3 linked regions of the Diceros bicornis minor genome follow. The protein of the gene in region 1 purifies or fractionates together with the protein of each later gene. This does not show direct contact. Links are inferred from orthologs where the notes say so. Each region holds a gene or a part of one and is shown in the gene's direction. Other genes may lie near its edges. The genes, in order: WDR76, CAMK2D and XPC.

The links.
Region 2: the proteins of WDR76 (region 1) and CAMK2D purify together in Homo sapiens (affinity purification with mass spectrometry; 3 studies listed by BioGRID and IntAct, counting the BioPlex papers as one, with this or other methods). This does not show direct contact. The link is inferred for Diceros bicornis minor from reciprocal best matches to the Homo sapiens genes WDR76 and CAMK2D.
Region 3: the proteins of WDR76 (region 1) and XPC purify together in Homo sapiens (affinity purification with mass spectrometry; 3 studies listed by BioGRID and IntAct, with this or other methods). This does not show direct contact. The link is inferred for Diceros bicornis minor from reciprocal best matches to the Homo sapiens genes WDR76 and XPC.

The regions. Positions count from the first base shown.
Region 1 is NC_080744.1:41,110,039-41,119,595, forward strand, and holds the start of WDR76 (WD repeat-containing protein 76), read left to right. Parts: upstream 1-5,367; 5' UTR 5,368-5,431; intron 5,432-6,854; 5' UTR 6,855-6,955; intron 6,956-7,075; 5' UTR 7,076-7,189; coding exon 7,190-7,249; intron 7,250-7,891; coding exon 7,892-8,302; intron 8,303-9,557. Other genes in the region: MFAP1 (microfibrillar-associated protein 1), read right to left, coding at 5,006-5,084. UniProt on the Homo sapiens protein: Specifically binds 5-hydroxymethylcytosine (5hmC), suggesting that it acts as a specific reader of 5hmC.
Region 2 is NC_080750.1:8,577,048-8,586,617, reverse strand, and holds the start of CAMK2D (calcium/calmodulin-dependent protein kinase type II subunit delta), read left to right. Parts: upstream 1-5,404; 5' UTR 5,405-5,733; coding exon 5,734-5,798; intron 5,799-7,355; coding exon 7,356-7,450; intron 7,451-9,570. UniProt on the Homo sapiens protein: Calcium/calmodulin-dependent protein kinase involved in the regulation of Ca(2+) homeostatis and excitation-contraction coupling (ECC) in heart by targeting ion channels, transporters and accessory proteins involved in Ca(2+) influx into the myocyte, Ca(2+) release from the sarcoplasmic reticulum (SR), SR Ca(2+) uptake and Na(+) and K(+) channel transport.
Region 3 is NC_080741.1:88,652,389-88,662,781, forward strand, and holds the start of XPC (DNA repair protein complementing XP-C cells), read left to right. Parts: upstream 1-6,171; 5' UTR 6,172-6,202; coding exon 6,203-6,305; intron 6,306-10,393. Other genes in the region: U6 snRNA-associated Sm-like protein LSm3, read right to left, coding at 727-822, 3,342-3,452, 5,903-5,923. UniProt on the Homo sapiens protein: Involved in global genome nucleotide excision repair (GG-NER) by acting as damage sensing and DNA-binding factor component of the XPC complex. Has only a low DNA repair activity by itself which is stimulated by RAD23B and RAD23A.

The DNA.
Region 1 (9,557 bases):
CCTAATAGGATTTAGCCCAGGACTACAAGGATGGCTTAATCTTAGGAAATTAACAGGGGAAAAAGTAATGTACTATTTAAAGTTGATATATTTAAAGTCACATAATGTTAACAATAGATAGAGCAAACATTATACTTAATGAAAAAGCATTAGAAGCATTCCTTTAAAAAACAGTGGGCATGCTATTATTCACAATAGCCAAGACTTGGAGACAACCTAAGTGCCCATCAAGGGACGAACGGATAAAGATGTGGTATATATACACAATGGAATACTACTCAGCCATAAAAAAGATGAAATCTTGCCATTTGCAAAAACATGGATGGACCTTGAGAGTATTATGCTAAGTGAAGTAAGTCAGAGGGAGAAAGTCAAACACTGTATGATCTCACTCATAAATAGAAGAAGACAAAAACAACAACAACCAAACATGCAGATACAGAGATTAGACTGGCGGTTACCAGAGGGGAAGAGGAGAGGGAGGAGGGCAAAAGGGGTGACTGGGCAGATGTGTACAGTGACGGATGACAATCAGTCTTTGGGTGGTGAACATGATGTAATCTACATAGAAATCAAAATATAATGATGTACACCTGAAATTTATATAATGTTATAAACCAATGTTACCTCAAGAAAAAAAATAAAAACAACAACAACAAAAACAGTGGGCATACTTATCTTGTCCCTATCATACCCTCTAGTCAACATTTTATTATGGTTCTAATTAGGGCAATAAGAAAAGAAAAAGAGGGGGGCCGGCCCCGTGGCTTAGTGGTTGGGTGCCCACGCTCCGCTGCTGGCGGCCGGGGTTCGGATCCCGGGCGCGCACTGACGCACCGCTTCTCCGGCCATGCTGAGGCCGTGTCCCGCGTACAGCAACTAGAAGGATGTGAAACTATGATGTACAACTATCTATTGGGGCTTTGGGGGAAAAAAATAAAGTAAAAATAAAAAAAAAAAAAAAAGAAAAGAAAAAGAGGTAAAAGGTAAAGATTGAAAAGGAAGAAACTGCCATAATTTGCTACTATATGATTATCTATGTAGAAAATACAAGATAACCAACAGACAAACTAAAAAAAACAATTCAGGAAGAATGCTAGATAAAAATAAGTGTACCTGTACATTAGCTACATATAATTAGCAAATACAGTTTAAAAATACCATTTACAATAGCAACTAATCTATAAGATACCAAGAAATAAATTCAACAAATGATGTATAAGGCTTTCAGGAGGAAAAACATATAATTTTATTGAAAGATATAAAAGATCTAAATAAATTGAGAAATATATCATGTTCAAGGATGAGAAGATGGCACCTACACCTGAGTTAATAAATGTATGATCTATAATTTTAATGCAATTCCATAAAAAGTTGTCCCTAGGCTGATTCTAAAATCATATGGAAGGAGGCCAAAAAGCCAAGACAAGTCTGAAGAACAAAGTGAGGCCAAAGACCTTAAACACCTCACCAAAGAAGATATACAGATGGCAAATAAGCACATGAAAAGATGCTCCACATCCTATGTAATCACGGAAATGTCAATTAAAACAACAATGAGATACCACTACACAGCTATCAGAACGGCCAAAATCCAGAGCTCTGACGACACAAAATGCTGATGAGGTTGTGGAGCAACAGGAACCGTCATTCACTGCTGGTAGGAATGCAAAATGGTACAGCAACTTGGGAAGATAGTTTGGTGGTTTCTTACAAAACTAAGCATACTCTTACCATACAATCCAGCAATCATGCTCCTTGGTATCTACCCAAAGGAGTTGAAAACTTATGTCCACACAAACACCTGCACACTGATATTTATTGCAGCTTTGCTCATAACTCCCAAAACTTGGAAGCAACCAAGATGTCCTTCACTAGGTGAATGGATAAATAAACTGTGGTACGTCCAGATGATGGAATATTATTCAGCACTAAAAAGAAATGAGCTAGCAAGGCACGAAAAGACATGGAGGAACTTTAAATGCATATTACTAAGTGAAAGAAGCCAATCTGAAAAGGGTACATACTGTATGATTGCAAATACATGACATTCTGGAAAAGGCAAAACTATGGAGACAGTAAAAAGATGAGTGGTTGCCAGGGGTTGGGTGGGGGGTGAGGGGGATGAATAGGTAGAGCACAGATAATTTTTAGAGCAGTGAGAATACTGTGTATGATACCATAATGATAGATATATGTCATTATATATTTGTCCAAACCCACAGAATGTACACCACCAAGAGTGATTCTTAATGTAATCTATGGACTTTGGGTGATTATGATGTGTTAATGTAGGTTCATTAATTGTAACAAATGTATCACTCTGGTGGGGGATGTTGATAATAGGGGAGGCTATGCATGTATGGGGGTAGGGAGTATATGGGAAATCTCTGTACCTTCCCTTCGATTTTGCTGTGAACCTAAAACTGCTCTAAAAAAATAAAGTTGTAACAAAAAAAAGAATAAGAATGTGAGGTGGGGGGGAGGGTTTTTGTATCAGATTGCAAGGCTTATTTAAATTCACAGGAATTAAAACAATATGTCATTGACTCGGGGTACATAGAGACCAATGGAACAAAGTAGAGACCAGAGAAACAACCTATATGAGAACTTGCTATATTACAGAAGTGACATTAAAAAGCAATGGAGGGCCGGCCTGGTGGCTTAGCGGTTAAGTGCGCACGCTCCGCTGCTGGCGGCCCGGGTTCGGATCCCGGGTGCGCAGCGACACACCGCTTCTCTGGCCATGCTGAGGCCGCGTCCCACATACAGCAACTAGAAGGATGTGCAGCTACGACATACAACTATCTACTGGGGCTTTGGGGGGAAAATAAAGAAATAAATAAAATCTTAAAAAAAAAAAAAGCAATGGAGAATGGATAGGCTAGTCAAACAATGGAGTAGTAGGAACAACTGGCTAACTCTAAGATAATAAGGTAAAATTAGATCTCTAACTGACACCATACACACAAAAAATTCCAGATAGATTAAAGGCTGAAGTGTGAAAAACCTATCTTAAACATTTACATCCCTACTGGACTGTAAGCTCCTTAACTTAGTCTGTCTTGCACAATTGTGTATTCAATCCTACTTAGTATATACAAACATTCAGACGATAGAAAACTGAATGTCTATGATCTCAGTGTAGGGAAGGACTTCTTAAACAGTATACAAAACAGCACACACCATAAAAGATAAAATTGATAAATGTGATAACACTAAACTAAAAATGCCTGTGTAACAGAAGACTCCATAACTAAAGTTAAAAAACAAGCCAAAAAACCTGGGGAAATAGATATTACAGATTTAGGATGTATAAAAACGAAACAAAGGGGCCGGCCCGGTGGCGCAAGCGGTTAAGTGCGCGCGCTCCGCTGCGGCGGCCCGGGGTTCGCTGGTTCGGATCCCGGGCGCGCACCGACGCACTGCTTGGTAAGCCATGCTGTGGCGGCGTCCCATATAAAGTGGAGGAAGATAGGCACAGATGTTAGCCCAGGGCCGTCTTCCTCAGCAAAAAAAAAGAGGAGAATTGGCGGATGTTAGCTCAGGGCTGATCTCCTCACAAAAAAAAAAAAAAAAAAAAAAAAAAAAAAACGAAACAAATAGAAAACAGGTAAATGACAGAAACAGGTAATTCATAGAAGAGAAAACCCAGAGAGTGGATAAACGCACGAACAAGATGCCTAGTCCCACTAGAAATCAGGGAAATGTAAATTAAAATAATGAGATATCGTTACACACTCATTAGACTGGGCAAAAATTAAAAAATCTGATATAACCAAGGGTGTGGATAAACACATGGAGAAATAAAAACTCCTAATGCTCTTACAATCCACTGTGGAGAGCAACTGGCAACAAATTGAAGATGAACTTCTAGGAGTCTACCCTAGAGAAATTCTTATACAAGTGCACTAAAGAGACACATTTAAGAATGACAATTGCAGCATGTTTGTAATAGGAGAAAAAACAACACAACTGTCCCTCAGTAGGGAATAAACTGTGGTTTAATTATACAATGGAATTTATAAGCAATTAAACTGAATGAACTGGATCCATATGTATCCAAAGGATACTTCTCAAACGCCATGCTGAGTTAAAAGAAAAAAAAAAGGCAAGCTGCACAAGGATGGGTTCAGTATATTCAAAAAACACAAAAGTAAGAACTGTTATTATTTTCCAAAACCCTTAATGAAAAAATCCTGACTCTTTATTCTGACTCCTCAAACAGAAACGGTGTTCCTTCTTCCATCTGCACTCATTGGAATCCTATCTGTCCTTTAAGGATCAACTTAAATGCCACCTTTCTTTCAAGCTTTCCTTGATTACCCCAATCTGAAGAGATTATTCCTCCTCTGCCCTCCCACAGTATTTGGTTTATATCACCTAGTGACAGGTATTACAGGTGTGAAAGACTGTACACTGTTTAGAATGTGCCTCTTTTTGCATGTCTCACATCTATTAGAATACGAGTTCCTTAAGGTTAGGGGGACTGTCCTACACAACTTTGTATTCAATTTAATAAATACAGTCACTGCCTTGGCTGACAGGGATAAAAAGTTTAATAAGACATAGTTCCTGCCTCAAGGAGGTTATGAGCTTATGATGTACGAGAGACAGATACATAAATAATTATAACGATGAGTTATAAAAGCAGCATAAACAGACTGCTATGGATAAAAAAAAAGAGGGACTGTATCCCGCACAAATCCCTGCAAACAACAGGCATTCACTATATATGTTAGTCTAACGAATTGGTGGAGGCCAAGGGAAGATAGGTGCTTGCTGTAGGTGAGGGCAGACAGGCTATAGGAACAAGATGAGATGGAAGTGGGTTTTCTTTACCCTAGGCAACGTGATCGGGTGCGAGTGTGACGGGGAAAGTCGAAGAAATAGGGGGCAGGGTCTTAAGGGTCGGTGGGGTTGGGGTGGTCGGCCCGGGGTAGGTTTGGAGTACGCTGAGGAAGGAAGAGGCAAGACCCGACTGGAAAACGGCTCAGCACAGTACCTTTCTCATTGCGAACCGGGACGGCCCCAGCCGTAGACTGAATGGGCGGTTGTTTCATGAGTGCGCTTGGGACCGACATGTTGACGACAGCAGCGGTGACTCCCGAAACTTTACTGATTCCAAACAGCGAACAGCTTCAACGTCAACGAACAGAAAACACCTCCCAGCCTAGAGCCGCTAGACACGGCTGCGGGACTGATAGAAACGCCACTTACGGCTGGGCTAGAAAAACCGGAAATATGCGACCAGAGGATTGTGGGATTGTGGAGGACCTCTGGGCGACTACCGCTAGAACACCGAGTCTGTTACTGCGCATGTTCATAGGCTGCCCTAGCGTCCTCAGTCTGGAAGTACATATTTGGACGTCGGTTGTGGCGGGAAATTGCTTCGGTTGGGCTTTGCGGTTAAGACCCTGCGGCGAGGAAGGTCCGAATGAAAGGTTTCGCTTGTTAGCTTGGTTTGAAGCCGAGGAAAATGGGATAGTGATGAATAAGACACTGAGGAGATAGTGAAGGGCAGTTTGTCCAGACTGTAGAAAGCTCAGAATTAGAGTTTAATCGGAATAGAAATCCTGCTAATAGTGTCTGATTAATTTAGCTGATGAGGCTGAGTGGGTTTTGGTGCGGTACTTTTTGGTCACGCGAGGGCAGGTCGCGGTGATTTAGGCCAGTGGCAAAAAAGAAAGAAAGAAAGAAAGAAAGAAAAAAAATCCCCCAGGGGGCCTGAGTCAACGCCTGAAATCCGAACATTCTACTTTTAGGCTTTCTGGTTCTTTCCGCTTCTGGAGACCACCTTTTAAAATATATTCCTGGCTGGGAAGTGTTTGTATATAAGTCTTTGAGTAATTATTAAGTACTTGCTGTGTTAACTGTGCTTAGCTCTCTGTAAGCAGTAACGAATATTGTTAAAAGGCTCGTATCCTCAAGAAGCTTTAATTTAATTTAGGAAGTCTTCAAGGGCTTATAGAATCATAATAGAAGCAATCGCAATTACTAGCTCGGTTATATAAAAAAAATTGGCTAATTAGAAGTCAGAACACATTTCACTGTAGAAGGGATTTTAAAACTGCTATGGTTGGGAGGGAAGGGACAGCATGAGCAAAGTCTTGAAGTCCAGAAATAGCGTATATATCAGACACCATGAAAAGTGTGATTTTATCAGTAATTTTTGAGTCAAGGAGTGGTGAAAGTTTGGCAGGTACCAGATCAAGTAGGGCCTTGAAGGTGCTGTTAATAGGATTAGTTCTCAAATTATTTCACTTGTGTTCTCAACTTGAGCCTAGGCTGGCAGAAGAAATAAAAGGAACAGTGGAGGACTCAGATAACCAACCAAGGGAGCAGTTTTGGGCTAGAAAGAAAAGGACCTTAAAAATAAAGTAGATAGAAATTTATATTATGAATTTATCAGCTCCAAAACTATGCTGTCCAGAGGGAGTGTGATGGGAAGGCAATTGTTTTGGCTCACAGCAACCCAGAGAATAGAAAAAAAAATTTAATATCGCTGCGACTATAAGAAATACAGTGCACTAAAATCTTATGTTACTTTGTGATACAAAAATTATTTGATTCACAACTTTTCCCTAGCCTTTGGGCTTTGTAAGGTCCTCATTAGGATCTTAGTTAACTGGTGGACAGATGATCAGGTGAAATTTAAACTAGCTTAAGTTATCAGCTCTTGAAAAAAAACTAAAAAAAACTTCCCTTCCTAGGAATAAGATAATGTGGTAGCCATGGGGCCTAATTTCCTGGTGGTGGTATAAGGAACCAGGGGGCCGAGGTAAGGGCTGCATGTTGATTGCGATTTCCTTTGCTCTCTATCCGGCATCTAAGTGCGTCTGAATCTTTTCCAGCCTCACGTTGTAAGGCAAGGTGGCTTATCCTCAGCAGAAGCGCCAGTGTTTTTCAAAGTGAGATACTGGCGTCAGCAACATCAAAATCACCGGCATCCAAGGTAAAAATGTCGATTCGGTCCCATCGCGTCCCTCAAGAATTTGAGTTGGGGGTGAGGCTGGTAGGCTTGGCTCCTTAAGGGACGACGGTAACGCCCGTGTCGCCCCTCCCCCCCGGCCAGCTGGGATCTGAGCGCCCGCCGGCGCCGCCCGGGCTCCGCCCCTCCCACTCCCTCCCACCCCCGCCTCCCGCCGCAATCTTGGCGGGAAGACGCCAGCTGTTAAGCGGCGGAAAGATGTCCGGGTCGCGCGCGGTGGCTGAGAAGGCTGGCTCCAGACAGCGACTCCAGGTGAAGGTGAGAAAGGGCTTGTCGCTTTCGGGTGTGCTCCTGACTCAGTCTTCGAGAGGGATCTTCCGGGCACAGGCCCGGGAGGGCACCAGGACTTGGCACCCGGCACCTCCTCACTCCAAAACGATTTCCCGCCGCTTGGGGCATCCCTCAGCTTAAAGAGTTTTTCGGGGTGTTGCTTCAAAAGATAAGCGGGGATCCCTGCCCTGGTTTCCTCTGTGAGAGTAGGCTGCGGCATTGAGGAAGGTTCTTGTCAGTAACCCCAGAAATAGTGGCAGGATGGGATCAGGGACTCTGCATTTGCTTTTGCAGCAGTTAGTGTCAGCTTCCTACTCTTGAAACAATTCCATTTACTCAGAAGCTGACAGTTGGGGTAGAGTCACCTTAGATACAAATTGTAGTCATTATTATTATTGGTCTGGCAGACTCATATGGGCAAGAAATGTGCCCAGTATAATAAATAATTCTATTCAGGTTAATGAATTAAGTATCTAGGTTTTGGAGGAAAAAAGTTTCCTTACAGGCTATCAGTTTGGATTTATGTTGTTATTATGAAATAGGAATGAGATTTATTTACACAGATCTGTAAGAAAAGACATAGGATCTGGGATTCTAACACTCTCCATTTTCCTTTATTGACCTGAACAGGTGAATGAATATAAAGAAAACCAAAACATTGATTTTGTATCTCCAAGGCCAGTACAGACTACAGTTTTAGGAAAAACAGCTAAGGTGTGTCTTGTCCCCTTTTCACTCAGTAATTACAAACCAGACCAACTTAAGTGCCCCAAATCCCTCTTAGATAAGAATTCTAACAATGAAGTGGCGTGTAAGAAATGTAAGAAGATTGAAATAAAGAAAACTTGCAGAAGAATTTTAACTCCAAAGATGGAAGCCACATCTTCCAAGGCAGAATCCACTCTGCAAAAATCATCCTTAGATGTTCATACTGAAAGTAACAAGCAAGGACACAAGAGCACTTCAGATACAGTGATTCTCAGTGTTGATATGGAAAGCAGTCAGGATGGAGACAGTGATGAAGATACCACACCAGGCCTGGTAAGAATTTAAATACCAGCTTATTCAAATTTTTCTTAGTTTAAAATTTGAAGTTCTGGTAAGTGAAGGTTATCAGAGGTCTCTCTAGCTCAAGCAGATTGTTTTATCTAATTTATGTTTAATTGAAAAATTTTTTAAATGTTTAACAGATAACTTTGTTGAGTTAATTTTGCTCTTGGTTTTGATTTGTCAAGGAAAGGATTAACTTAATTTTCACTCTGCTTCCCTTTTTCTTCCTCTTGGTTTATTGCATATATTTTTGAGTTTACGCATACTTTATGGTATCTTGCTTACCTTTACGTATTTATGCACAATATACCAGAAGTTGGCCTGTGGGACATATGGCATTTGAGTGACCCTTGATGTCAGGGTAGGAAAATCATCATTAATTGATTGCATTGATGTGCTGAATAATATTTCCATTAAATACAAAAAGGAGACAAATGATGGAGTAGAGAAGATACACGAGAAACACTTATTAGTTCTGTTTAAAATAATAGAATCAGTTTAGGGAATTAGGCATCTAACTCCTTTGGCTTCGATTGCCTACCAGGAGTGTTGTACTTCATTTAAAGTGACAAATTTTATGCAAGACAAGATAAAACCCTACCACATGACAAAAAGGTTGATGGAACTAGGGGAACAGAAAATGATGGTAGGGAAAGGGAGATAGGATAATTGAGGTGGTGGTATTATGAAATAGGAATTCAGTTTATGCTTTATTGTCCCAGAGGTAAGGATTAGCACCTGTGGTGGCACAGTGTGTGGTAAGTCATAAATGCATTGGAAGCCTAGGTTTTAGGCATGGCCACTTCTAAGAAACCTTGTGCCTTTAAGCTAGTCACCTCTACGGTGAGGGAATTGGATAAGATCAGTGGTTCTCAAACTTTAGCTTGTATTAGAATTACCTGGAGGGCTTGTTAAAACTCCATTGCAGGGCTCCACCACCAGACTTTCTGATTCAGAAGTTTTGGAGTGGGGTATAGAATTTGCCTGTCTAACATGGTTTCCTGGAGACACTGATGCTGTTGGTCCAGGACTGCTCTTTGAGAACCACTGGATTAGATGATCTCTTTGGCCTCTTAGACTGTAAGTTCTGAGTATATTTGGCTAATATAAAGCAGATTTTAGTTTGATCTGAGGAAGTAGGGTCAGAAATTAGAAATGAGGAAGTGGGGGCCGGCCCCGTGGCTTAGTGGTTAAGTGCGCGCGCTGCGCTGCTGGCGGCCCGGGTTCGGATCCCAGGCGCACGCCG
Region 2 (9,570 bases), on another chromosome or scaffold:
TATTACTGATGGATTCTGCACTTTGGGGAGCTATGGAGATAGCATCATCTCTTCTTGTTTTCTTGTCTTGTAACTTTGTAGCAAGGGAAATCAATGATTGTCAATATCTGCTTTGTTCACTTAAGTACTGGAAACTTCTCTCTTCCTAGTGGGACTACTGAAGTTGTGCAGGTTTCAATGGCAAGTGACCAAAGGAGAGAGAGAAAGAAGATACTTTCTGTCTTTGGTTCTGACGTTGTATTGTATATAGTGATCATTTTTAGTCTGTCTTATATGTCTCTGCTACTATTTGTCAGTTCATGCTATCACAAAAAAGGGATGGGGTACATTTAGAGCAAGATTTCATCCTGCTCTTGGCACTAACACAATTTCATTTGAAGTCTAGCAATCTAGGTAGTGAGAGGGCTCTGCTTACAACTACTATTCAACCCTCCCAGCATCCCCGCCCCCCCACCCCTCACCCCTCCTCCTTTGCTGTTATTGGCTTACCAGTATTAAAAGGTAAATTTCAAAAGAGGATAACATTATGAATGCTTTGCTTCCATCTTAGCAAAGTAGAAAGTTAGGAGCTGGAAGTAATACGCTGGCTGGTCTTGAGTTTTGTCTGATTAATCTAAATCAATTGAGAAACCAAATATGCTACTGTTTAGAAATTTTTTTCCATTTTGCTCTTCAAAAACTCATTTTAAAGCCACATTTTTCATTTCCTTACATTGACTTGTGTCTTCATAATGAGATCTAGTTATTGGAAACTGTTAGCATCTGTCTTTTATTACAATGTAAAATTTAGTAAGGCCAATGTATCTAAAAAACAGAAATTCCTTCTTCCTTTATGGACTTCAATGGTAAGAAAATTAATACTAGATTCTTTTCCCTTGATGTCAATTGTTAACATATTTTTAAAATCCATTTCTCTGCATAAACACTTTTTTTTTTTTTTTGTGAGGAAGATCAGCCCTGAGCTAACATCCATGCTAATCCTCCTTTTTGCTGACGAAGACCGGCTCTGAGCTAACATCTATTGCCAATCTTCCTCCTTTTTTTTTCCCCCAAAGCCCCAGTAGATAGTTGTATGTTATAGTTGCACATCCTTCTAGTTGCTGTATGTGGGACGCTGCCTCAGCAAGGCTGGAGAAGCGGTGCGTCGATGTGCGCCCGGGATCCGAACCCGGGCCGCCAGTAGCGGAGTGCGTGCACTTAACCGCTAAGCCATGGGGTCGGCCCTGCATAAGCACTTTTAATCATGGGATTGTCGGGGAAGAGGGAGAATCCCCCTCTGCCCTTTCCCTTAAGGTTCTTCTGGCTGGCCAAACAACTAAAAGACAGGTTAGCAGGAGAAAATAATACCAAGTTTAATAACATATATACATGGGAGAAACCAGGGAAACTGAGTTTCTCAACACAATAGCAGAGATTCTTGTCTTAAATACTATCTTCAGCTAAAGACAAAGGAGGAAGTTGCGGGTGGGTGGTGTTTTGGGATTTCAGAGGGGAAGAAGACAATTTACATGAAGAGAGAAATGTAAATGTTTGTCAGACAATGCTTTGCGGGGCCACCTATAGAGAATATGGCCAGAGAGAAAGGAATTATAGTAATCAAGAGTATGTAGGGGCCAGCCCCGTGGCGCAAGCAGTTAAGTGTGCGCGCTCAGCTGTGGTGGCCCAGGGTTTGCCGGTTCAGATCCCGGGCGTGCACCGACACACTGCTTGGCAAGCCATGCTGTGGTGGCATTCCATATAAAGTGGAGGAAGATGGGCATGGATGTTAGCCCAGGGCCCGTCTTCCTCTGCAAGAAAAGAGGAGGATTGGCAGACGTTAGCACAGGGTTGATCTTCCTCACACACACAAAAAAAGAGTATGTAGATTTAAGTCTTCTCCATCTGTCCTGATAAGAGTTTTCACAGATAAGGTCATCTCCTCCCCCTCTTCCCACTACACAGAGGGAGATACCTTTACAAATGTAAATATTTGGTAAACAGACCTTTGTTAAGAATGGGCTTAGTGAGGACCCTGCCAGTCTGTCCATACCCAGAGTTAAATTCCTTTAGGCAGTTAGTGGGGGGAGGTCAAATGTCTGTCAGAGAAAATAATCAAGGTAAAGAGATATATTTCAGGGTGGCCAATTTTGGTCTCCCACAGGATACTGTGACCATCTTAATTGAAAATGACTACCTTTACAGTAAGAAGTCTTACTGGTATGTTAATTATAAACTACCAACTTTAATATGAAAATTGTGATTAGATAATCTAAACCCCAAAATAATTAATTTGCCCATTCATTGAGCAGCTATTATGTGCCAGGCACTATTCTAGTTGCTGGAAATAGAGCAGCAAACAAAACAGACAATAATTCATGCCTTTGGGAGCCTATATTCTAGTTTGGAAGTATAAACAATTAACAAGGAAAAAAATAAAATTTATAGTATACTAGATGGTAATAGGTATTAAGGGGAAAAATAAAGCAGGAGATGGGAATAGAAATCATGTCAGAAAGAGGTGCAGTAATTGATAGGGTGGCCAGGGAAGGCCACACTGATAAGGTGATATTTGAGAAAACATTGGAAGGAGGTGAAGAAATGAGGTCGAGGGTAACTAAGAGATGAACATTCTGGAAGGAGGGAAGAGCAAATGCAAAGTCCCTAACCAGGAGCGTTCCAGTCACGCTCCAGGAACAGCAGAGGCCAACTGGCTGCAGCAGAAGGAGCCAGAGCACAAACTGGGGTACAAGGCTAAAGGAGCGGAGATGGAGGGCAGATCCCTTGGGGCGTTGTAAGTCAGTTTTAGAATTTTGGTTTTTGGTCCAATTGAGATGGGAAGACTTCAGAAGGTTTTGAGCAAAGGCATGATTTGTTCTGACTGAGGTTTTAAGAGGATAATTCTGGCTGCTATGCTGAGACCAGAATGAAGGCGGGCAAAGGGCAGAAGGAGGAGACCAGGAAGGAGGCAAGAGATAATAATCCAAATGGAATTTCTGTGTAACTTTAGAAGGATTACTGTTTTAAGGAGGTCCAAACTTTAGAACTGTCAATATTTGTTTAAATAAGACAAATATTTTAATTAGTCCAAGAATATAGATTAAGCAGTATTTGCTTAAGTACTCATTTATTGTGTAATATAATACATCAATATTAAAACTCAGTTATGTTTCCTTTATTGTATCACACAATTATCATTAACCCATTTACAATTATCAGTAGTTTAAATAACTGAGATAAATACTGTCATTATGTAGGCCTCATTACTTGAATATTTAAAGAACAATTTTCTTTCCCAGAGTTGTAAAATTTTATATTACCTTTATTTATTGTTTTAATTTTACTTTTCTATTTCATTTTTAGATTCAGAGAAGATTAAATTATTGCATTATAACTTGGAACCATATTGCTAAATATTTAAGATATATATTAAAAATCTTATAGCCTAGACCAAATTGTTTTTTTTTTAAATTTTATAGCCCAATTATTAATATTTAGACACCTTATTTCTTTCCTTTTTATAGTTTTTGGTATCATCTTTTCTCGTATCACTACATTTTACACAAAGTTATCTTTCCTTTTATGGTTGGGAGTCAAAATATGTACAAATGTCATTTTTGTTATAAAAAGCGTTAAAAATCGTGAACATTTTGAGAACTTTGGTAAAAGCTATACTGGCAGAATAGCATTCCCCAGATCAGGAAATAAGGGAGTTAGGATTACGTGTGACCGTTGACAAGGTAATTTACTAATTAATAGCAGCCTCTGGGAACAAGCAACAACTCCTTTACATCTTAAAATCCCTGTATCTCCAAGTTATCGTTTATCTCCCAGCTGTGAAATTTTGAGTCCGTGATGCAACGGTAACGATGAACAAATTAGCAATAGAATTGCAAAAAGTTTTTAGGGTCCCTGCTGTAAAACAAAAGGCAGTAATTTGGAATCGACAGTTCAAAAGGTTTCTGTTTTTGGTCTGCCTCTAATCTGCAATTGCATAGTTTATTAAAGACGTAGGACTGGAAGGCAGGCCCGGGGGTTGTTTTAGCAATCAGCAATTTATCTATTTTAAATGTAATGCAAAATTTTTTCTCGTATTTACTGTAAACAGTGCCAGATATGTGAATGAGTAGGACGTATTCTCCAACTGTTGAGTGGGTTTTCAGAGAGCCATTTACGGAGTATACTCATGTGCCACTAACTGGCCAGAGCGTTGAGCATGCAAGCAGAGCACACGCGACCTCTCCTTTTTCTTCTCTCTTTGCAAAGTGAAACAGGCTAGACATGTTCGTGTGATGCGAGTGACGTCAGCCCCACCAGGTCCCGTGACCGATACCCAACCTTCCCACTGCCCCGCCCCCGCCGCCGGAGCAGGAAATCTCGCGAGAAGACGCCTTACTATCAGAACTCACCGAGGTTACGGCAGAGTTACTCGGAGGGGAAGGTGTGGCTGGGTGGCGGAGGTGTTGCTTTGATGCTGCTAACGTTCATGGCCCCAGCAAAGGCCTTTGGGGATTGCCAGAGTCTGGGCGAGCCAACCCAGCACACGGCGGGGGCGGGGGAGAGCGGGTGGCAGTCATATCAGAAGTGAAACGTGGCGCACGGCGGGCGTCGCCCCTCCTGAAGGGGCTGCGAGGGAGGGAGGGGTCGGCGCCGGGGCCGGGGCGGGGGCGGCGCGGCCTCTGCCGCGTGGGGAGGCTGGGACCCTTCTGGAGGCGGGCAGGTGCCCACATCCGGCCCCGCCGTGTCGACGGCGGAGCGGCGCCGAGGGGCAGGGGTTGCGCCCCTCGCCCCCCCGGCCGGGCATGGCGGCTCGGGCCGCCCTCGTGCCCGGCGCCCACCGCAGGGCCGGGGCCCCCGGCAGTCCACGAGTTAGCACGCATCTTCCCGCTAAGTCAGCCCCAGATTCAGGCAGGGACCTCACTGCGGGTTTAACTGGGTAATTTTGACGTCTCGCCTCATTCACCTAAAGCGTCTCCAGGCTTCTCCCCCGCACATCCTCCTCCACCCACCTGGTCTCTCCCTAGACGGCTGTGCGCCTGTGTGAGACCCAGGGAGGAGGGAGATCCACGAGGGGACACGGTTGCAGTCGCTAGAGGGAGGTGTGGGACCGGCGACGAGGAGGAGGCGGAGGCACGGGGACGCAGACGAGGCTTCGCCCGAGCCGAGCGCGCTTTCCTGGCCGCGCGGGCTCGCAGCGGCGCGGGCTCGTGGGGAGCGCGAGGCCGCCGAGGAGCCCGCGGGAGGGCGGCCGGCCCCGGGCGCGCACGCTCGGCCGAGCCCCGGCGCGCCCCGCGCCCGCGCCCGCTGACAGCTGCAGCTGGGCTCGCGCCGTCGGCTCCCGGCTCCGCGGCCTCCGCCCCCCGGGCGCCCTCCCCTCCGCCCTGCCCCTCCTGCCCCGGTGCGGAGCGTTTCGCGACTGCTCGCCCCGAGCCCCTCTTCTTGAGCGCTCGGCCCCCTGCATCTGGGGAGAGGGGCTGGAAAGGGGGCGGGTGGAGCGTGCAGAGGAGCAGAAGGAAGCGAGGCCCGGAGGAGGCGGCGGCTCGGCGGACTGCGGGGAGGAGACCCCACGCCACCCGTTCTGGTCATCTCCCCTCCGCCCCGCCCCTGCGCACACTCCCTCGCCGGCGAGCTACTTTCGGTCGAGGAAACTGCGGGCGGCCCTGGGTGACAGCGCCGCGGGGCCAGTCCCGGGGAAGCCGCGCGCCCGCTCGCGTCTCGTCCGCCGCGCGCCCGGCCAGGGGCACAGCCCGGACCGAGATGGCCTCGACTACAACGTGCACCAGGTTCACGGACGAGTATCAGCTCTTCGAGGAGCTCGGAAAGTAAGCGCCTTTGCCGGGCACCCGCACGGCCCCTTTCCAGCAGAGGGCGGGTCGCGTTACCCCCGACCCACCGGCCTCCCGCGTGGGGCGAGGGAGTTTGGGCGGCAGAGGAGAGGGAGGAGGGCCCCTGGTGTGTCAGCTCGGAGGAAGGTGCTGTCAGAGTAAGGGGAGGGGACAGACCCTCCACCACGGCTGTAGCCCGTTCCGATAATCCTCAGCCCACCTTCTCCCGCTCCCCCACCCTTTGCCCTAGAGACTTAGTGGATTTACGAGCCCTGCAGTTGTAGCTGTCACGCTGAGAAGTGTGCGAGCGTGTGTGTGGAGAGGAAACAAGAACCCATGTGAAATGCACATAGATCATGTTTTCTGTAAATAGAGATGCCTCCTGGTTAGCCGGCGTGTCGGCGGTAGGACCCACGTACGGATGAGAACTCGCTGCCACAGACGGTGCCATGTTTATTGATGCCGAAAGTTCAACTTGGCTTAGAGTCTGTTTCGCATCCAGTAGTTGTTCTGTCCAGGAAAAGGGCCACCCAAAGGAACCCGACCCCCTGCCCCATATCCACTATCATTCTTTACGTTAGATTACTCGCTCGTCATCATCCTTCGTAGGATTTACGGGCGCATCTTCGCATTCTCTGCGAGGATTTATTTCTGCAGACAGCGGAAAAGCCCTCTGGAGACCGGGAGAGAGCTCCCCAAAGGTAGCCTAGTGTTGTGAAAAACGACCTCCTACACCCGACTGGCAGAACTACTTGGAGATGTTAAGGAAGGGGACAGGAGACCTGCTGAGGACCTGTGCAAAGGGACCTAGGGACCGAGCCGTGAATGTTGGTTTATGTAGCTTCAAACCCAATTCCTCTATCGCTAGTTTCGACTATTACTTGTGAAAGGGGTGCGCTTATGTGTATGTTGTTGTTTTGTACAATTGAATTAAAGAAATGTAGTGAAAATTACATCCTTATATATTTATATGTTCTTTGCTGTTAAAACATGGAGAATATGTCGGAAGAGCAGCTTAATTCAAATCTCTCCCCTCCCCCAACCCAAAACAGGGCACAGAGAAATCACCCTACCAGGATGTGTTAAACCACACAAATGTTCCCAAGATTTATATTTTAATGAAAACAATCGCCATATTTACTTAACTTGGAGCCACATTAATTTTTTTCCTTACCAAAATAAATAGGCAGCAGATTTTTTGCTGCTCCTTCTCACCTCTGCTCTTTGCAGGGTTTTGTCTCAGAGCATTTGGTGCTGTGTGAGTGTGAATTGTAGAATGTTTTCAAATTTCGTGTGCAAACAAGAGCCGTCATAATTGGCAGTTCCTTTCATTTTGTTGATTAATAGTGTGTGCTCCCAATTAAATAAAATTTACTTTTACTCTTCAACATTAAAGAAGGTCTAGGTTTCCAGGAAGAATTCTTCATTTTTTGGCTATTACTGTAGTGCACTGATATTTGTTCACTAAAGTCAAAAAAATGCTCAGATTGTTGTAATTTTTAGTAGACTATCAGAGCTGATTATACTGATGACCTGCTAATTATTGGTTTTCAGGGGGGCATTCTCAGTGGTGAGAAGATGTATGAAAATCCCTACTGGACAAGAATATGCTGCCAAAATTATCAACACCAAAAAGCTTTCTGCTAGGGGTGGGTATTTCCAACCACATATATGTTAATTTTGTATTTGTCATGTTGAGTGTTGGTTTTGTTGTATGTAAATATATCATTTAGTTATAATCGAATTGTAGACTTAGTTATCATATTACATATTGAGATTATTTCCTTCCTGAATGCCTCTTGGTCTGTACAGTTTAAACAAAAATGAGCAAATATAATTGTTATTATTTAATAAATTGTTATTAAAATTCTTTCTGTCCCATGAGCTGTAGCATAACTAACTATATTTAAAGCAAATAAATGTCACTAAGTGCATTTTGCCTTTAGCTGTACTGTGAAATAACTTGCAGAAAAACCCTGGAATGGAAAAATGTAAGTCTCACCACTGTCATTATTCCCTTTTGCTTTTGAGAGGAAAAATAGGTCATAGCTCAGTTGAATCATATATTTCAATGTAGTTACACTTGAACTTAATTCATCAAGGTATATTTAACAGTAATGGCTTTGGGAGGAAAGTCTTATGATTGCTATATTCTAGGAAGTTCAGCTCGATTTTGCTGTTGTCTGTGTGCAGTTCAGACGTTTACTTGGTCTTCTGCAGTAAGGCTTCTCACAGACTCGTGTAATGTATTTTACACATGCTTTATAACCACGAAGATAATTCATACTCATAAAATAGCTGTTGACATAAGCAGAAAACTTGGAGGGCCCTCACTGCATTCTTTGTATTTTGTGGAACTCGTGCAAAAGTACTTATACTGAAATGTTAGGCATTTCAATTATCATGAGCACGTGGCTGAGGTATTTCCATGGGAATTTATGGTTTGATGAAATAAAAATGCAATTAAAATGAACAAAATGCCATAGTGTAAGCCCATTTCAGTGACCTGGTTTATTTTAACTAATGAGAGGAGAAATTGCATTAGGATTAGTTTTCCTCATTTAATTTGTCTTCTAAAATGTGGTGCTTCCTGGTATCCTGGGGTCATTGTGTTTGGTTTCTGCTGTGTTTTTTTCCCCATTTGTTGCAAATTCTACTTTTAACAAGTACGTTAGGTTTAGGTTTGCATTTCAGTTTATTTGTTTGAATGGGGTTTTGTTGTGATTTCCTTCATCTGATTTTACTGTGATTCTGAGAAAGATGTATATGCTAAAGTAACCAGCACCATTGATTCATGGCATGGGAACTAATGGGAAGCTAGATATACTGGATTATGTTCCTCTTCCCTCTACTACACAGGAAGGTTTTTAACGGCGAAAAGGAGTTGCTAAACTGTAAGTGACATTTTAGTGTTAAAAAAAAAAAAAAAAGAAAAATGAAAGTGTGTAGCCAAATTCTTTGAGTGCTTGTAGGACTTCTTCCTGTGTGCTAGGTACTTTTGGCAAGAGTGGGGTATCACTTCTTCCGAGGCGTTACAGAACCTATCCTGAATCTTTTGGTGGCTGCAAATTTTCTCTCAAGACAAATCAGTCTTGTGCTTCACTTTTACTAATTTCCTTGGTCTTAGTCAGCCCTTTTCATCCACCTTAATTCATACTCCCTGCATCGGACTGGCAAATACACTTGTCTCTACTCACATAGTTTTTATTTGACTTTCTTCTGCCTCCGATCTATGGAAGATATGTCTTCTCTAGCCTGAAGGAATTCCCTCTCCCTGCTGCCTGGCCTGTGTTCCTCATCTGCTCATACTCTGCTTTAAAGAACAATCTACACCCACAGGCCCCTGGCCCCTTCTGGATTTCATGATTCTAATGATTCCAGTTACACCGAAGAAAAGTAGTTAGGGTGACGAACTAGAAGCCCTGCTCTTGTTCTCCCTCTGTAGTTTTCTTTCCTTGTGACTTTGGGCAAGTTTCTTAATGTGCTTTTATGTTAAGAATGAAGTGATGAAGAAGTAGGTGTTGGAACTAGGTGCCCTGGGTTTAAATTCTGATTCCCTACCCTTTAGCTGTGTGATGGTGGGCAGTGTACATATTTCCATGAGCCTGTCTTCTTATCTGTAAAATCCACGTTAATACTATAATCCTTCCTTTTATAGGGTGTTATGAGGAGTGGATGAATTAATATAGTATATAGCAGTGTCTGCTACATAATACACATTCAGTGATATTAGCTGCTATTATTACCTCTTTGGCTGTTGTAAGGATCA
Region 3 (10,393 bases), on another chromosome or scaffold:
AAGAAACTACCACTTGTTGAGTTTGGGTGTAGCATCAAAGGAGAGTATCCACAAAAATTACTCCTCTATTTTCCAACTGCCCATGTGTGTGAGGTCAGATTTTCTTCACCTACCACATATCACAACAGGTTAAATGCAGAAAAAAGGATGTGAGAATCTAGATGTCATCAATTAAGCTAGGCATTAAAGAGACTGGCAAAAATGTAAAACAAAGACACTTCTCACTAAATTATTTTTAGAAAATATATTGTTCATTAAAATGTTACTTATATTAACATAAGTTTATTACTATTTTTTAATGAGTTTATATTTTTAAGTTTCTCAGTTTTAGTTTCTATTAAGTACTGATAGATCAAATCCACATCAAACAAAAGAACACTGTCCAGTGTTACTGTTATATACAAGCACATACAGGCATCTTACACTGTCATATCTCATTGAATCCTAGTAACCCTATAAGGTAAGTGGTAGTATTCCTGCTTACCAATGTGGAAATTAAGTCTGCAAAGTTAATTCCCTTGCCTAACATACCCCAGGGAGGAAGTGGTCAAGCCAGTCCTGGAAACCAGGTCTGTCTGACCCCAAAGCCTTTGTTTTCAATTGCTACACTCTGAGTCCATGAGTAGCTGTCAAAACATGACAGGCTTTCCATAAACAGGTGTGAAGCTGTAGGATGTTGAGAACAATTGACATTTTAAAAGCGATGAGGAGAATTGTATGACTTACTTTATATATCTCTTCATATGTTTCTTCATCAATTTCTATAGTAGTCACAGTTTCTTCCACATCTCCCAATATCATATTTAAATGTTGATCATAAGCCTGAAGTGGGAGGATGAAGGACCAAGAAATTTAATAATCAAATTAAGAAACAATGAACAGGACTTACAATATGCAAATGGCTCAATTACAAGTAACCACAATACTTATATCACAAACTTTCACATATAAATAAAAAATAATCCTGCTGTAACTAATATACTATTTCTTCACAAATCATTCCAACAATAACTTAATTGACCTGATAAAAATACAACACTGTTTACGTGGCCAAAGATGAATTTACTCAAAATAACTTGAAATTATTTTTACAATGTCCACCCTACTTGTTATGCAGGGCAGTCACATCACTTATAATATTTAGTTAGAAAAACAGCAAATTCATCACTTTGAGTAGACTTCCTTCAATTCCATCTGTAACAATGCAACAAGAAAGACACAGTAAAGGAGGTAAAATTCTTCAGCGGCTAAGATGATGGCATAAGACACTGTCATTAAACCCTCCCTGTCTTAAACTAAACACCACAAGGTAAAGTAAGTAGAGCAACACCCCGCCCATTTATAACCTAGCTAGAACTGTGCTTGGCACCTGTGGGCTCAAATCAATAAATGTCGCAACTCAGATATTCAGGGATGTGATCATTCCAAACGCCAAAGCTCATGCATTCTACTAAAAGGTGAACCTTCGGGGGCCTTGTTCCCAACCCACTTACACTTACTTCTAACAAAGTGTTAAATGGTACAGCAGCTCACATCACAATGAAAGTAGCCAACCAGCCACGTGGGAAACTGCTAGGAAGAGCACACTGACAAGAGTGAAAATCTACAGATGAGGGCCAGAAAACAAACAGAAGGTTGGGGGCCACTCAGCACAGAGGCAATCGAGTCTCTGCAGGGAGCTGAAGAAGCCTCCACGAGTTAGGCAACATGTCTGTCCCGGGGTGTCTCTCCATGTGCCAGTGGCCCACGTGATTAAGGGCAATTCTATTTTTCTTGGCAAAGGTGTTGCTATTCCACTTCCTGGGGTTCCTCTTCCCTTAAGGCGAGCTGGATATTAAGACTCTTGCCTCCCTAGGTCCCTACTTCCTTTCAAAGCTCCACAGGCGGTTCTTGACCTTTAGGTTTTATGGCAGGTAGAATCATAGTACTTAAGAATGGGGCTGAAGTCAGACTGCCTAGGTTTATATTCTGGCCCTCCCTTTACTGGCTGTGTCACTTTAAGCGAGTAACTTCACCTTTCTGAGCCTGATCTTCTTCAACTGCAAAACAGGGATCATTAGTATCTACCCATACAGGGTTGTTACAAAAATGAAATACGATATTACATACAAAACATTTAGAGTAATAGTACCTGGCATATAATTAAAGCTCGACAAATATTAGATATTTTTAATCACTTTAGGGTAGAATGAAAGTAATAAAAACGACACTCAGCAAAGTAACAGGCCATCAAGAAGAGACAAACCTTCAGTACACTCTCTTTATGAATAAATGGGACCATTTCAAGGGACCTATCTTGTAGAAATAGTTGCAGATATACACAAAGAAATATGTATAAGAATTCTTACTGTGGCATTGTTTATAGTAGCAAGAGATGGAAAACAATCTAAATATCACTACTACCAATACAGAATTCCATGCAGTCATTAAAAAGAATAAAGGAGATTTATATGTACTCATGATCAATGATTTCCAAGAAAGAGTAAGTGAAAAAGAAAAGTGCTGAAAAATATGTATAGCAAGATCCCATTTACTTTTTTTAGAGGTGGTGTATATAGTACAAATACATGCATATGGACACATTTATATGTAGATATGTGTAAATATACAGAAAAGATCTGAAAGACTATACTGGACTTTTAACAGTGGTTACCAATAGAAATAAATGGGATTTCATCTTTTACTCTATATATTTCTGTGCCTTTTTTTTTTTTTTTTTTTGGTGAGGAAGATCTGCCCTGAGCTAACATCTGCCAATCCTCCTCTTTTTGCTAAGGAAGACTGGCCCTGGGCTAACATCCATGCCCATGTTCCTCCACTTTATATGGGACACCGCCACAGCATGGCTTAACATGTCAGTGTGCACCGGCGATCAGAACCAGCGAACCCCGGGCCACCGCAGCAGAGCATGTGCACTTAACTGCTTGCGCCACCGGGCCGGCCCCTCTGTGCCTCTTTTCCACAACAAAACACAAATTTATGTATATGTCAGTAATTTAAAAAACATTTAAATAAGAATGGAGGACAAACAAATGTTATTTAAAAATAAACAGAAGTGAAAAAATGAAAGAAATGAATATGTTCTTTAATAAACATTTCTGTTAAGAGAAAACACGTTAAAAATATGAATAAATTATAGCTGTATTTGGCTTGTAGAAATATGGGTGACTTTCTACCTCCATCTCATCTACACACTAAATACTCTTCCACAGTGGACAGTTTTTACATTTCAAGCGGGTGAGGGTAGGGAGGGATGAAGAGGAAATAATCTGATTTCCAGGTAATTTAATAAATTTACTTACATGTAATCTACCACCACGTAATTTAATAAATTTACTTACATGTAATCTGCCTCGAAGCTCTCTGTCATTTCTCATTTTCACATAAATTCGCTCATCCAGGCTGAGCCTGATGAGATCCAGGGGCTCTTCTACGGTGTTGGTAGTTTGTTGCTGATAAAAGAAACAGGCTTATGATACAGTACTAGAAAGAGCGTAGTGTTTGAATCATTGCTATGCTGTGACTGTGGGCAAGTTACTTAACCTCTCTATGCCTCAGTCTCTTATCTGTAAACTGTGGATGACAATAATGCCTACCTAACACTGCTGTTGTGAGCCTTAAATGACATATATGAAGCCTTAGAACAAAGCCTGGCACATAGTAAGTGTTATATAAACGAGAGCCAAAACATACATCCACAGGAAGGAGTTACACAGCAAAGTTATCACGGCTGTACTTTGTTCCCTCAAAATCCAAACTGCCTGACCCAATTTCAGGGTATAGTGAGTCACTCTCAGGGACTTTAGCCCTGTCTCAAATATCATTTAGTAATTTGAAAAACATTCACTTAATGACTACCACACACTAGTCAGAACGCCAAGCAGTGAGGAAGGTTTGAGGGAGACCACGAGGTCAGTACAGGGCAGGTTGAGTCTAGGGTGCTGAGTGGCTGGTAAGATGCATATATTTAGCAGGAAGTAGAGAATACTGGTTGAAAGTACTAGCTTTGGAGTCAGGCAGTGTGAGCTCAACTACTGACTCTGACACTTATATGAATTGAGATAAAAAATCATGCCACCTCTAATTCTCAGGTTCCTTGTGTGCAAAATGAAGAAGCCATAATTTTCCTTTCATGATTCTTGTGAGGAATAAATGAGCTAATGTATTTAATTAACGTATTTAAAACAGTACCTGGCAAACAGAAAGTACTTATAAATGGTTCAGGTTATTACTATTAAAGAACTGTTGGAAACAGGTCTCAGAAAGATCAGGGCTAGGATGACTTGGGGTCATCCATACAGAAGGGAGAAGCCAGGAGAGTTGACGAGATTACTGAGCTTCTTCAGGGAGTACATGAGGCCAGGGGAGGAAAGTGACCCAACACTGCAGGCTCTACAGCCTTAAAAGGTTAGATGAGAAAAAAAGCAATCCTGACCTCAATTGGGCCCCACCCCAGTTCAACAGGCGTTTGTTAATGGGCAGCTAACCAACTACTGGATTACAATGACACAGCAGTCAGTCCCTGCTCATTTTAGTGGGGAGAGGCAAATAAATAGACAATTATAATATTGTAAGAATATACTCATGACAGAGCCCTACGGCTCCTTTAGCCTCAGTCTGGGATGCCCACGGTCCACACTTTTCATCCTGTAGCTTTAAATACTGCCTTTTCAAAGAGGCCTCCCTAATCATTCAATTCATTCACTCAATAAGTATTCGAATGTTTCCAGCACTGTTCTAAAACCTGAGAACAGGGGCCTGCCAAGTGGTGCAAGCGGTTAAGTGCACGCGCTCTGCTGCAGCGGCCCGGGGTTCGCCGGTTCGGATCCCGGGCGCGCACTGATGCACTGCTTGTCAGGCCATGCTGCGGCGGCGTCCCATACAAAGCGGAGGAATATGAGTATGGATGTTAGCCCAGGGCCAGTCTTCCTCAGCAAGAAAAGAGGAGGATTGGCAGACGTCAGCACAGGGCTAATCTCCTCACACACACACACAAAAAAGTAAAACCTGAGAACAGAATAGTGAATAAAACAAAATTCTTGCTCTTAAGGAACTCACATTTTAGCGGAGGGAGAGAGACATCAAACAAAGACACATACACTTAATATGAACAGATAACACGCTATGAAGAAAAATAAAGCAGACTGGGCCTAATGCTATTTTATGTAGGTGGCCAGAGAAGCCCTCTTCAATGAGGTGAGGTTTCACTAGAAAGCTGAAGAAGCTGTGGCCTGATCCACAAAGACACCTGAGGAAGAGCATTTTGGGAAGAAGGAAGAGCAGGTGAGAAAGCCTGTGGGACCATCAGTTACTCTCTACACCAGTTCCTTGTTTGTGTCCTCCATACCACATCACAGTGCCTACATAACGCATATATTTATGTTTACCTTTCATCTATCCTCCCCCAGAATATAAGCCCAAGTGGGGACAAGGGTCACGCATGTCAATGCCGGCGTCCTTGGGGCTTAGAACGGTGTCTAAGCAAACGCTGATGTTCACTACGTATTTGCTGAATGAGTAATAACGGTTGCGCTCGATAACGATAACTCCTTACTATCACGCTTTGTATCAGAATCCCGACAGCTCCGCGAGGCAAGCAGGAGTAATTATTCCCATTCTACAGATAAAGGTCAGAATGAAGACAAAGGGAGCGACGAACGGGAGGAATAACTAGTTTTCAGGCGGGCTTCGAACTAGAAAAGATCTCAGGGCTTGAAGCAAAAGTCGCAGGGGGCGCGGTTAGCAACGGGCCGATTAAGGCCATGGTGACCTGGAAAGAGGCGGCACGATCGGCCACCTTCCCGTGAGCTTCGAGAAAGCAACCGTGGTACGCAAAGCCGAGCAGGGCCAGGGCTGGGAGAGGAGAAGCCGCTCCGGAGCGAGCTCCCTAGAAGACACTCACCTGGTCCACGTCGTCCGCCATGTTTCAAACCCTGCGCCCTTCCTTGCCTCTCGCGAGAGCACGCGAGCTCCCTCCTGTCTCCGGAAACGCGAGGACGCAATGCACCGGAAGTGCAAAGAAATCTGTTTTGCACCTCCTTGCTTCCCGCTGTTCGCCTTGGTCTTTTGGGGCTGGGGCGGAGCTTCCTCTGGGGGCGGAGGCTTGCCCTGTGAGGAAGGGGCGTGGCTACGCCTGGCGCAGCCAGGGGCAGCTTCCCGCGGGGTGGTGCGTCACGCGAGCAGCTAGTGTTGCCCGGGCAGCATGGCTCGAAAGCGCGCAGCTGGCGGGGGCCCGCGGCGACGCGGGCTGCGGGGCCAGAAAGCCAAAGGGAAGAGCGTGGCCCGGCGTGAGGAGAAGGAGGCGGGTGAGAGCGAGGCTGAGCCGGGCTTAGAGGGGGATGCCCGAGGGCGGGAGACAGGCCCGGGTCGGGGAGCGGGGAGGCCGGCTCCTGGAGGTGGGGGGCCGAGGAGACCGCGTTACCGGGGCCAAGGGAGGCAGGCGCCGCCCAGGTCCTCCCCACGAGGAGTGATGCGCCCTCAGCGGCTCCCCTGGAGCCCGACCCCATGGGAGCTGCCCTGCGTAGCCTCTTTCCTGCTCCCTGTTGCCCACAGGACAAAGTCCGGCCTCCTGGCGGATGCCGAGGGCTGAACAGGGGAAAGGCAGTGCAGTTATTTTGTGTCCCCAGAAGACGGATGGACCAGGACGTAGAGTGCAGTAGTGTGCTGACTCCCAGAATATCTTCAGCTAAGTCTCACCCCAGAGTTCCAGATTCGGATCCAACCTGACTGACTCCTCCACGTGGATATCCAATAGACGTCTTATATTTGTCATGGGCAAAGCAAAACTCTTGATTTTTTCCCCTGTAAGCCTGTTCCTTCCCCGCCTTTTCCCATCTCAGTAAATGATGCCTTCACCTGCTTGTAAAAGCAGACCCCTGGTTTTCCTTACACGCACACATCCTGTCAGTCAGCGAGTCCTGTCAGTCAAACCTCTGAACTAGATCTCCACTCTCTCCACTTCTCTTTATTTCCGTGGCCACAGCCTTTGTCCAAGCTACTGTCACTTCTCAGTTGAAGGACTGCGGTCACCTCTTTACTGGTCTCCCTACTTCTTTTCATTCCTCTGCAGTAGTTCTCCACTCAGCAGCCCAAACCATCTTTAAAAAAAAAAAATCAGATCATGCCATGCTCCTACTTCAAACCCTTTGTGGCTTCCCGTTGCTCTTGGTGTGAAATCCAAATTCCTCACCATGGATTACAAGACCCTACATGATATGGCTGCTGCTACGGCTCCTGTTGTCTCCTACCACTCTTCTTTGCCAGATACTCTCATTGGTGGCCTCCTTTCTGTTCCTCAAACATGCCATGTTATTTCTCACCTCAAGCCTTTGCCTTTGATGTTCCTTCTGCTTAGAATGTTCTTCATGGCTTTACTGTGCCTGATTTCTTCTATTCCTTTAGGTGTCAATTCAGACACTCCTTGAGCGTCCTTTCTAAGGTGGTCTTCCCGGGATACTCCCTATCACACAGGCCCTCAACGCCCCTGTCACCGTCTGTAATGATCTTCTTAATTTATTTGCTTCCTTTTGATTGCCTGTCTTACCAGACTTTAAGCTTCATGAAAGCATGTCTTATTTTTTGCAGTATCTTATCTTGTCACTCTCCCCATATACTAAGTGCTCAATAAATATTTTAAATAATTGCAAAGTGCATGCTGTGGAAAGGATTTCTGGGCTTCCTGAGATAACTGGGTAGAAGGTTAGGTAACCAGCAAGGACTCAGACACTAGATTCAACAGTTCTGTGATTCTGTATATAAGTTCGTCGTCCATTAGGAAATAGTCAAATGGTAACAATTTTTAAACTTAGAAGGTGATTTACCTCACAATGAGTTCCATTTTATTCATTCATTTACTCATTCAGATAACATTTTCTGAGTACCTACTGTGTGCTGTACATGGGCTAGGTGACATGGGGGAGAGATTTCATGGAGGAGCTTAGAATATAGTAGTGTTGACATTTACAAAAAATATCCAAGGCAGAGTACGCAGGGTCTGATATTGGAGAAGGTGCAAGGCTTTGTGGCTTCTGAAGGAATAATCAAGTTTGACTGGAGAGACTGAGGTGTGCTCTCTGGAGGAGTTATGTGTGATCTGGGATTTAGGATGGGTAATATTCAGCAAATGGTCGTGAGAGGGGGTTGTATTCTAGTCAGAGGGAATGCGTTCTGAATATGTGGCAATTCAAAAATTAAAAGCATTCCTCCCAGCTAAAACACTTCACTTGGGCACCAGTTTGGTGTAGCTCCAATGCTTGGTAGTTATATGCACTTAGGTAAATTATTTTGGACAAATAACACAGCTTTTCTGAACCTTGTCTGTGAACATACTACTATCTTGCAGGGTGGTTGTGAGTTTTCAGTAAGAGCATATAAGGCTCCTGGCACGGTCCATGTTACATAATCATTCGGGTTAGCTCGTAACAATTCAGCCTAAATATAGTTAAGGATGCCCCCAAGCTTCACTGAAACTGCCAGCCAGCGGAGCTAGCAGTAAGTTCCCAAGGCAGCTTCCGGGAAGAGTTGCAATCTTTGCTGTGGTTGAGGGGAGGAGCAGGCGTGGTTTGGGCTGCAGGTGACACTGATTTGGTGATCATTGAGTGTAAGTTCTAGCAGCACCTCGGGGCATGCAAATGAAGGTGATGCGTGGCTGCTTTCAGCAGTTAGGGACAAAGAAAACATTTCTTCCACATTATTTCCTTGTTTCTATTAGGGCACCTCTAGTTTCTTCATATTTCTTCTCTGTGTTAATGCCTTCATTGATGTAATTCATTAATTCCTTCAACAAATATTTATTGAGCGCCCACTGTTCCCAGGCACTGTTCTAGGTACTGAAGTTATGGTAGTGAACAGAACAGGCAAGGTCCCTGCTCTCATGATGCTTATAATCTTTGGGGAGGAGTAGGTAGGGCAGACAATAAGACGTTAAAAAATAAATTCACATGGTGATAAGAGCTATGAAGAAAATAAAACAGTTGCTGTAATAAAATGGGCATGGGGGTGGGGAAGAAGCAGCTAAGTCAGAATCAGTCGTCAGGGAAGGCCTCTGCAAGGAGGTGACATTTTGAGCCAATTACTGAATGCCCCGATGGAGCCATTCTTAGGAAGTTGTGGGGGAAAAGGCAGAGGGAACAGTAAGTTTCAAGAGTTTCGGGGGGGGGGGTGAGCTTCGCCATTTGGCTGGACACAGTGAGTGAGGGGGCGAGTGGTAGGAATTGAGGTGAGAGAGGTTGTTGGGGCCCTTAGCTTGGAGAACAAGCTAAGGAGTATGTATCTTATTCTAAGTGCTGTGAGATGCCACTGGAAGGTTTAAGCAGGTATTCTTATTAAATCTCAATTGATGACCAAGCCAGCCACAGTGGTAATTCCTGTCCTGCTGAAATAACCATGTTGAGCTCAGGGAGGCTGGTTAGACAGATGAGATAACTCCAGACCTTTGAGTCCTGGAAAATAGCCTCTGGATTCTCTAGGACCAAAAAAACACAGCAAAGGATAAAGGAAAAAACAAAGTCATCCATATTTCTACCATCCAGAAATAACCACCACTAAACAATGGTATATTTCCTTCTAGTCTGTGTTTTTTTATGCAGTAGAAACTCCCTGTAAAAATAACTTTGCCTGCCTAATATTTTATCATATATCATTTTTCTTTGTCTAAAAGATGACTGAATTATATTTCATCGTGTGACTGTACCATAATTAATGATTATCTCATGATTGGTTATTCACATTAGTTTTTAAACTTTTGGATATTATGAATATGAATGATTTTTTTTGATTCACAGTTTTTTGTTTCCAATTCCCCCCCCTTTAACTCCTCTACCTCTCTCTTCAAAGCACAGAAATATACAGCTGTGCCTTATAACCAATCAGATCAGTTTGGTGAGGAAGAAACAGTGTCTGTGAAGTATCCTCCCACTTGGGTTTTTAGATTAGTAAAAATGAAGTATTAGCATCTTTGCTTATTAATAGAGAGTAAAGACCATTGTAAGATCCAGAAATCCTGATTTTAAGGGCACACTACTCAAACCGTCTAGTCAAACCTTTAAGCAGCTTCCGGTCTTGGAATAAGAAATCTGTTCCCCAGATTCTAAATAAGTAATTTTGAAATATTTTGTTTTTCAAAATTTCTCCTTATTTTTTGTGTCTGTGTTAAAATGGCTAAGACATAGGAATGCATAAATTCTTTCTTTTAGAAAGCATCAGTGATTTTATCTACATTAACACAATGCCCATAATGTGAAATTTATTTAAATTAAAGTATGATTTATGGGGCCGGCCTGGTGACATAGCGGTTAAGTGTGGATGCTCTGCTTCGGGGGCCCGGGGTTCGCAGGTTCGGATCCCAGGCATGCACGACACACCGTTTGTCAGGCCATGCTGTGGCGGTGTCCCA